Linked DNA regions of Callithrix jacchus. The main gene of each other region encodes a partner of the protein of the gene in region 2 in a complex. Links are inferred from orthologs where the notes say so. Each region holds a gene or a part of one and is shown on either strand. Other genes may lie near its edges.

Region 1 (3,165 bases), on a different chromosome or scaffold from region 2:
ACTCCTCTGCAGCCTGAGCTCCACCCTCCCCTCTTTTTGCTGCACCGCCCACCCACGCCCCGTCTGCCCCTTGACCCTCCACGCCGGGGCTGGCCCTGCCCTCCCCCCACGGCCGTCCCTGACTTCCCGGCCGTCAGCGCCTCCCAGAGACGCTCGGGTTCCCGCTGCCTCAGACCGCCTCCTCCTCCTCCTCCTCCTCCTCTGGACTCGAGAGGGCCGACCCCCTCGTCTCCTCGTCCGGCCTGCGGCCCAGAACGGGCTTCCCCGGACGCTGGTTCGGGACTGTCTTCCACCCTGCCCTGCACCTCGGGCACAGGAGAGCGCCACCCGCCCGCCCCCGCCCTCGCTCCGGGTGCGTGCCCGGCCCACCACCTTGTACAGGACCAGCGCTCCCAGGGCCCGAGCGCGTGCCTTCCCCGTGTGGCCCATGCGCGGCGCGCTCTGCCCCTCCTCCCCCCACTTCCCGGTGTGTGCAGTGGTGATGCCTAAAGGAATGTCACGCAGGTTTCGGTCTGTGTCGCTTGTTGACGCCGACAGAGAGTAAAGGGAGGGCAAAGGCGTTGGGGAAGAAGCTTCCAGAATCCCAGGCGGCCGCGGCTGCTCAGGCTTGGGCGGCTGCCGCGGGGATCCCCGGGCCCGCGGGCGAGACCGAGCAGTGGGGGTCGGGATCGGAGTCCGGGTCCCGCGGTCTCCTTGGCCGGCGGAGGGCGGCGGTGCGGCGGCGGCGGCGCGCGCTGCAGGCGGTGAGCACGGATCCCAGCGCCAGGCAGGCGGCCACGCTGACGAGGAAGGAGGCCGGCCCGAGCGCGTAGACCACGGCCAGGTCCCGCAGGGCTAGCGGCTGCGCGCAGTGGCGGAAGGCGGCGTCGGGGAAGGCAGTCAGCGGGCTGAGTGTCAGGCGTCCCGGCCACACGCAGAGCGCCGCCTCGGCCTCTGCGGGACACGGACACAGACGCGGCGTCAGGCGGCGGCGGCCGCCCCGCCCCGCAGACCCCGCCCCGCGTCCGGGACAGCTCACCTGACGTGGACAGCGGGTGCCGGCGCAGCCAGGCGCACAGTGGGCGCAGCGCGCAGCTGCAGGCCCAGGGGTTGCCGTGCAGGTGCAGCGCGTCCAGGGCGGGCAGGCGGGCCAGCAGCCCCGGCGCGAGTGCCGCCAGCGCGTTGTCCTGCAGGCTGAGTGAGCGCAGCAGCGGGAGCGCGCCCAGCGCCGCGGGCTCCAGGCGAGCCAGCCGGTTGCCAGCCAGAGAGAGGGTGCGCAGCGCGCGCAGCGGCGCGAAGGTCCCGGGTGCCAGCGCTTCCAGCTGGTTGGCGCTCAGGTCCAGCAGCTGTAGCGCGCCCAGGCCCCAGAAGGCTCGCACGTGCACTGAGTGGAGCCCGTTCTCGCTCAGGTCCAGAAGCTGCAGTGCGCCCGCTCCCGCGAAGGCACCGGGCGGCAGCGCGCGGAGGTGGTTGTGGTCCAGCAGCAGCTCGCGGAGGCGCAGGCTCAGGCCCGCGGGCACGGCCGGAAGCGCGAGTGCAGAGCAGGTGGCCAGGCCGCCGGGCTCGCACGTGCACTCCTCGGGGCAGTCCCGGGCGCCTGGGGACCCCGAGGGCGAGGCCGTGGCCGACACCTGTGCCCAGACAGGCCAAGGCGACAGCGGCGGCAGCAGCAGCAGCAGCGGCAGCAGCGTTGGCGTCTGCGGCCAAGGCCGCGACCAGGAGGAACTCCGCATAGGGGCAGCCCCCAGTACCTGTGTGGGCGGCCCGCTGCCTGTGCGTCCCCGGAGCCTATAGTCCACTAAGCGCGTTCCTGCGGCGCCTGCACAAATGTTCTCTGGCGCGAGTGCAGGCAGTTCCTGTCCCACAGCTGGATCCACGCTTGGGGCGGGGCAAACGGCCAACGCCCGGCACCGCCGGCCACCTGTCCCGGAGCTCCAGACTGCTCTGGGCACAGCGCCGGCCACAGCACTATCGGGACCACCTCACCCCGACTGGTTCACCACCAGGCGCCCGCCGAGCCCTGAGCAGTAGGACGCCGCCCACCTGCCCCCGCCGACCTCACGGCTGCGACCGGCGCCCATACGCAACGCAGCCCAGAGGTCCTGCTCCTCACTGGCCTTGGCCCCCCTCAGGATCAGCAAAGTGAGCCCAGTGTGCACGTGCTGAGTGGCTTCACGCAGGGACGGTCCGTTCCCGTGGTGGATGAGGCCTGAACTGAACATGGGCCTTGTGGTGTAGGGAGACAGCACACCCAGGCAGGAGAGGATGCCAGCTCCACCCTTCCCCCTCAGGACTTTTCTGGACCGTCTGGGGTGCTGCCAGTGGAGTGGGGGAGGGGCATCAGCCCAAGTCCTGTTAAACCCAGCTGCCTCCGGAGCTGCCAGTTGCAGCCTGGGTCTCACATGCTTTTCCCTTCTGCTCATCCCTGCTGCAGGTACCACCTGCAGGTCCTGTTCTAGGAGCTTTCAAAAGCACGAGGTTCAGGGAGGAGCTGGGCTGACCAGCTGTGGCAGAGAAGGTAGAAACACATTAGGGGTGTGGTTTACTGCCCTGGGGCAGAGAACGCGGAACCCGGTGTGGGCCTGGGTGCCCGCTTTGATGAGACCCATAGGCGAGTGCACGCCCAACAATGCAGCCTTGAGGGGTGTGAGAGTCTGCAGGGAGGACAGTGCACAACCTCTAAATACGGTTTATTTCCTCTCCCCACCGGCTTCCTCAGCCCTACTCAGGTGGTAGGGGTGGGGGTGGGGGTGGCTCCTCTGGGGTAGCCTCCATGGGGATGGCCACGAAACTCTCATCCTCCAGTGGGGGCATCACGGAGACCTCCAGGTCAGCGTCCAAGAGCTGGGACTCCACATATACTGGATGCAGGTCCATGCGGTCTTCCTGGACTCCAAAATTCTCCACCAACCTGCATGACAGGGCCCGGGTCAGCACAGGCTGGTGGGGCTCTAACCACCCCCCGGAGCAGGCCAGCATGTGGAACTGTGCTCCCCCAAGGCCTCTCCTGGGACAGCACCACCCCCACCCACAGGGCCTCCCCTACAGCGCCCCCCTCGAGGGCCTCCCCTGGAACAGTGACCCCCCTGTCGCTGGGACAGCGCGGCCCCTCAAGGACCTCCCCTGGGACAGCCCCCCCCCACGGGGCCTCCCTGGAACAGCACCCCCCCTTGAAGGCCTCCGCTA
Region 2 (3,512 bases):
TCCATTTTACCTGTGCTTGCATTCCTGGACTCTGTTGTTACCTCCTGGATCTGGGATTTTTCCACCGTCTTTTGTTATTTTTTTATGTTAAAAATCTGTTTACGGGCTTATTTATTTTTAAATGAACCTATAATATACAAATATGTTCTTGTTATAAAATGTTCAAACAATATAGAAGTATATAAAGTCAAAAGCAAACTTTGCCCTCACCCCCACCAATCCTATTTCCCTTCCCAGAGGGAATTACCGTTATTAGTGTAATGGATATTTTTCCTGGGCTTTCTTTCCAACCTTACATACATTTATATGTATGTAGTTTTATTTTGTCAGTTTTTTTTTAACATAAATGAAACTATACATTTTTAATTGCCCTAGAACTTTTTTTTCACTTCCCCTCTATTTTAGAGAGCCTTCTAAGCTGATGCCTGCATGGAGAGCTAGCTCTGCTTCTTTACCTCCTGCATACATTTTCACTGTGTGAATGTCCAAAAGTATATTTCACCATTCCTATGTTGTTGGACAATCAGGCCACTACCTTGTGTACTTTTTTCTTGTAGAAATATTCAATACAATTATATGACCTGGAGCTTAACTCCTTTCCATGTCCCTTTTGCATTGCCCGCATTAATTCCACTCCATCCATAGCCTCCAAATTGAGCTGCATGTCCAGGCCCACCTCATCACTCCATGCTCACTGGCCATTTCCTCTTGGCTGCATTGGAACTGCTGTCTTTTGCCTGAGACAGAAGTGACCTGCTATCAAATAAACAGGCACTTGAAACCCACTCCCTTGTTACATTTTGAAAGCCAGAGGTTGCCACAGGACAGTTACTTAAATCAAGACAATTTCCAGGCAGGAAGAAGATGTAGAACCCTGACATTATTCCTCTCCCGCGTTTGTTAGTAATAGCTTGATTGAGTATTGAGAGCAAGCTTAAAATGCTGCCATCAGCACCAACTACCCTTTAGATTAGCACACAGCTCCTATTCCCTTGAATGTAGTTAGGCCAGCTTAATGTCAAGGCATAAAAAAGATACTTGTTAAATAATTTCCCAAAGCTCTGACTCAATCTTTAATTTGTTTTTATTTTTTTCCTCTTTCCCTCTCCTCTCACTTTTGTTCCTTTCTCTCTCTCTGTTTTTTTTTTTTTCTTTCCTCTATGCCAAAGGGTACGCCATTAAGTCGGGCTGATTTAAGGGCTGTCAACATCAACCTCTGTGACATGTGCGTTATCCTGTCAGCCAATCAGAATAATATTGATGATACTTCGCTGCAGGACAAGGAATGCATCTTGGCGTCGCTCAACATCAAATCTATGCAGTTTGATGACAGCATCGGGGTCTTGCAGGCTAATTCCCAAGGTAAGGACAGCCTGTAATACTTCTTTGCTGTGCCTACGGGGGACAGCGGCTGGCAAGAGGGATATCCTTCACTCAGTAATTCAAAGAGGCTCACATCAGCCTGCCTGGCAGTGAAACCTGCGGTCGCCGGGATGGCTTTCAAAGGGGCATCTGCTGCCCCTTCTTTCCATTCTGGGGTCCAGGCTTGAGACCTGGTCACCCACACACTGACTAAGTTGCCTTTCCAGAGGATAAACAACGCTTTAAATGGCCACCCCCTCAGCTTTCCCAAAGAGTGTCTTCATGGGCAGTGTCAGCTAAATGTCAGAGCACTGAAAAGATGCTGGCTGCACAATTCCGACCATTTCCTTCCAGAATATATTTTTGCCATTGAGCTGAGATGGAAGTGTTAAGCTTTGCTATTGTTAGAACTGCCTCTAGGACTCTGCTGACCAAAGGATGGTGCTCTCCAGAGAGTGGCAACTCTATGGACACTAAAAGTCATTTAGCAAGAGGTGACACTTGTCAGACCACACATTTTCCTATAGGAGGCAAAGCAACCTTAAGTGACACATGTGTGCCTTCCTACTCTGGCCCCAGTCTTTCCTGTCATTTGTTTTGGGATCCTGGACAGGGGGTTACAAGTAAAGATGTCTAGGAGTCTTAGAAAGGAAATGCAGCAAAACCTTCATAACAGACGACCTCCGTAATCAGCATCTGGCAGGATAGGATGCAGAGCATTTTCCTTTGAGTGACACCTCCGTGTAGTCTTGCCATGAACTGGAGGATCATTGTTACATAAGGGCTACAAGCGGGTGGCATGGGCTGCCTGATGAGGACCTGAATCCCATCAGTCCAGGACGAAAGGCTGTAGGAGCACAGTCCTTGAGCACTATGGCTACTGGCATATGAAGCACCACCTTATTGATAGCTGGGCAAGTGTCTGACCTCCTCCACGTCATGCCAGGCTTTCTAGAAGCTCAGCTGGATCATGCATCCTAGATCTGTGAGCTATATTATCTTTTGTCAACTTGACATCACCACCACCACCTTCTAACATTTGCTTAGCATTGCAGAAAATCCAGGAACAATCATTCCTAGAATCCTCTTTCCTGCATGGCTCTGGGCAGAGTCAGCTGGTGGAAGAGGGGCATTGGGATGAGATTTGAAAAGTGGAGGAGAAAGGGAGGCTTTGATTCTTTGGAGACAGTTGGAGCCAGACCTTAGCAGACCCAGGTTCAAATCATCTCTCAGAGGAGCTTTCTGGGAGCAAGTATCTTCACTGCTGGTAACTGAGAGAGGGGTTGTGGCTTCTCTGAGAGTCTTGAAGTTCACAGCACTTTCTGGTCAAGCTTAAGGGACCTTCTGCTTTTGTATTGGATATGAAGTAGCTTCTGTTCTTCTGACATCACCCCAATACAGCCTGCAGCCTAATTTTGACCTCTCCATGCCACCATCCTCCCTACCACACCCAAATCTCAATCTTGGTATCCACCTGCTCAGCTGTGCCCGCAGGACAGAACGACATGTCAAGGCCTAAGAGAGGCCCTGCGCTCTTACTCCCAGGTGCATCCTGCAGAGGCAGAGACCCCCTCCTGCCCAGACAGCCCAGGTGAGAAAGGAAGTGAGAAGACAGCAGGCTGACCTTCTAGGGAGTAAAAGAGGCAAGCTGCCATTTGGTTCCTGCCTTTAAGCCCTTGACCTTCAATATGTGTCCTCTCTGCCCAGCGCCAGTACAGGTATCTATTGGGGAAGCCTGTTAAAACTGTAGAATCTCATGGCTCACCCCAGATCTGCTGGGTCAGAATCTGCATTCTAACAAGATCCCCAGGCAACTCAAATGCACCCCTTTAAAGCACAGTAAACCTTCACATGAACAGGACATGACTAACCCTTGTTAGATGCTTCTTTCTTGGGGAGCAGTGAACCATCAAGGGGAATGTAAAAAAGTAGAAGCAGTGATTCTCCCTTTAAGTAGAGACAGAAGCCAGCAGGAGGAGGCAGGAAAACACTCCTTTTCCCCAACATGCCTGTTTCCTCCTAACTCAATCATCACGATTTTCCAGGGCCATAGATTAGAATCTCAGTGTATAATTTAGTTACACATGCATCTGATGTAGGTGTTCCTTCCAGCTCTCTTAAACTTTATCCCAGCCTCTTAGATCCTATAT

What was found. Proteins that work in one complex are often made in the same cells at the same time.
Region 1: the proteins of KCNMA1 (region 2) and LRRC26 are in contact, whole or in part, in a cryo-EM structure (PDB 7YNZ), measured with the Homo sapiens proteins. The link is inferred for Callithrix jacchus from reciprocal best matches to the Homo sapiens genes KCNMA1 and LRRC26. Residues at the interface, in NP_001154824.1 of Homo sapiens: Pro78, Cys79, Asp80, Ser81, Arg82, Gln84, Trp88, Ala92, Ser93, Val96, Thr97, Glu155, Trp158, Met159, Ser161, Val162, Trp165, Cys206, Leu226, Leu227, Phe229, Gly230, Leu231, Phe233, Ile234, Asp251, Phe252, Pro256, Phe259, Val260; in NP_001013675.1 of Homo sapiens: Gly204, Cys205, Gly206, Cys207, Ala208, Arg236, Leu237, Ala249, Phe250, His252, Cys253, Ala254, Gln255, Leu257, Arg260, Asp261, Leu262, Val264, Val265, Tyr266, Leu268, Gly269, Pro270, Ser272, Phe273, Ser276, Leu277, Cys280, Leu281, Leu283.

The regions. Positions count from the first base shown.
Region 1 is NC_133502.1:185,580,277-185,583,441, forward strand, and holds LRRC26 (leucine-rich repeat-containing protein 26), read right to left. Parts: upstream 1,780-3,165; 5' UTR 1,713-1,779; coding exon 1,019-1,712; intron 934-1,018; coding exon 602-933; 3' UTR 506-601; downstream 1-505. Other genes in the region: TMEM210 (transmembrane protein 210), read right to left, coding at 2,701-2,890. UniProt on the Homo sapiens protein: Auxiliary protein of the large-conductance, voltage and calcium-activated potassium channel (BK alpha). Required for the conversion of BK alpha channels from a high-voltage to a low-voltage activated channel type in non-excitable cells.
Region 2 is NC_133513.1:53,241,659-53,245,170, forward strand, and holds part of KCNMA1 (calcium-activated potassium channel subunit alpha-1), read left to right. Parts: intron 1-1,169; coding exon 1,170-1,362; intron 1,363-3,512. UniProt on the Homo sapiens protein: Potassium channel activated by both membrane depolarization or increase in cytosolic Ca(2+) that mediates export of K(+). It is also activated by the concentration of cytosolic Mg(2+).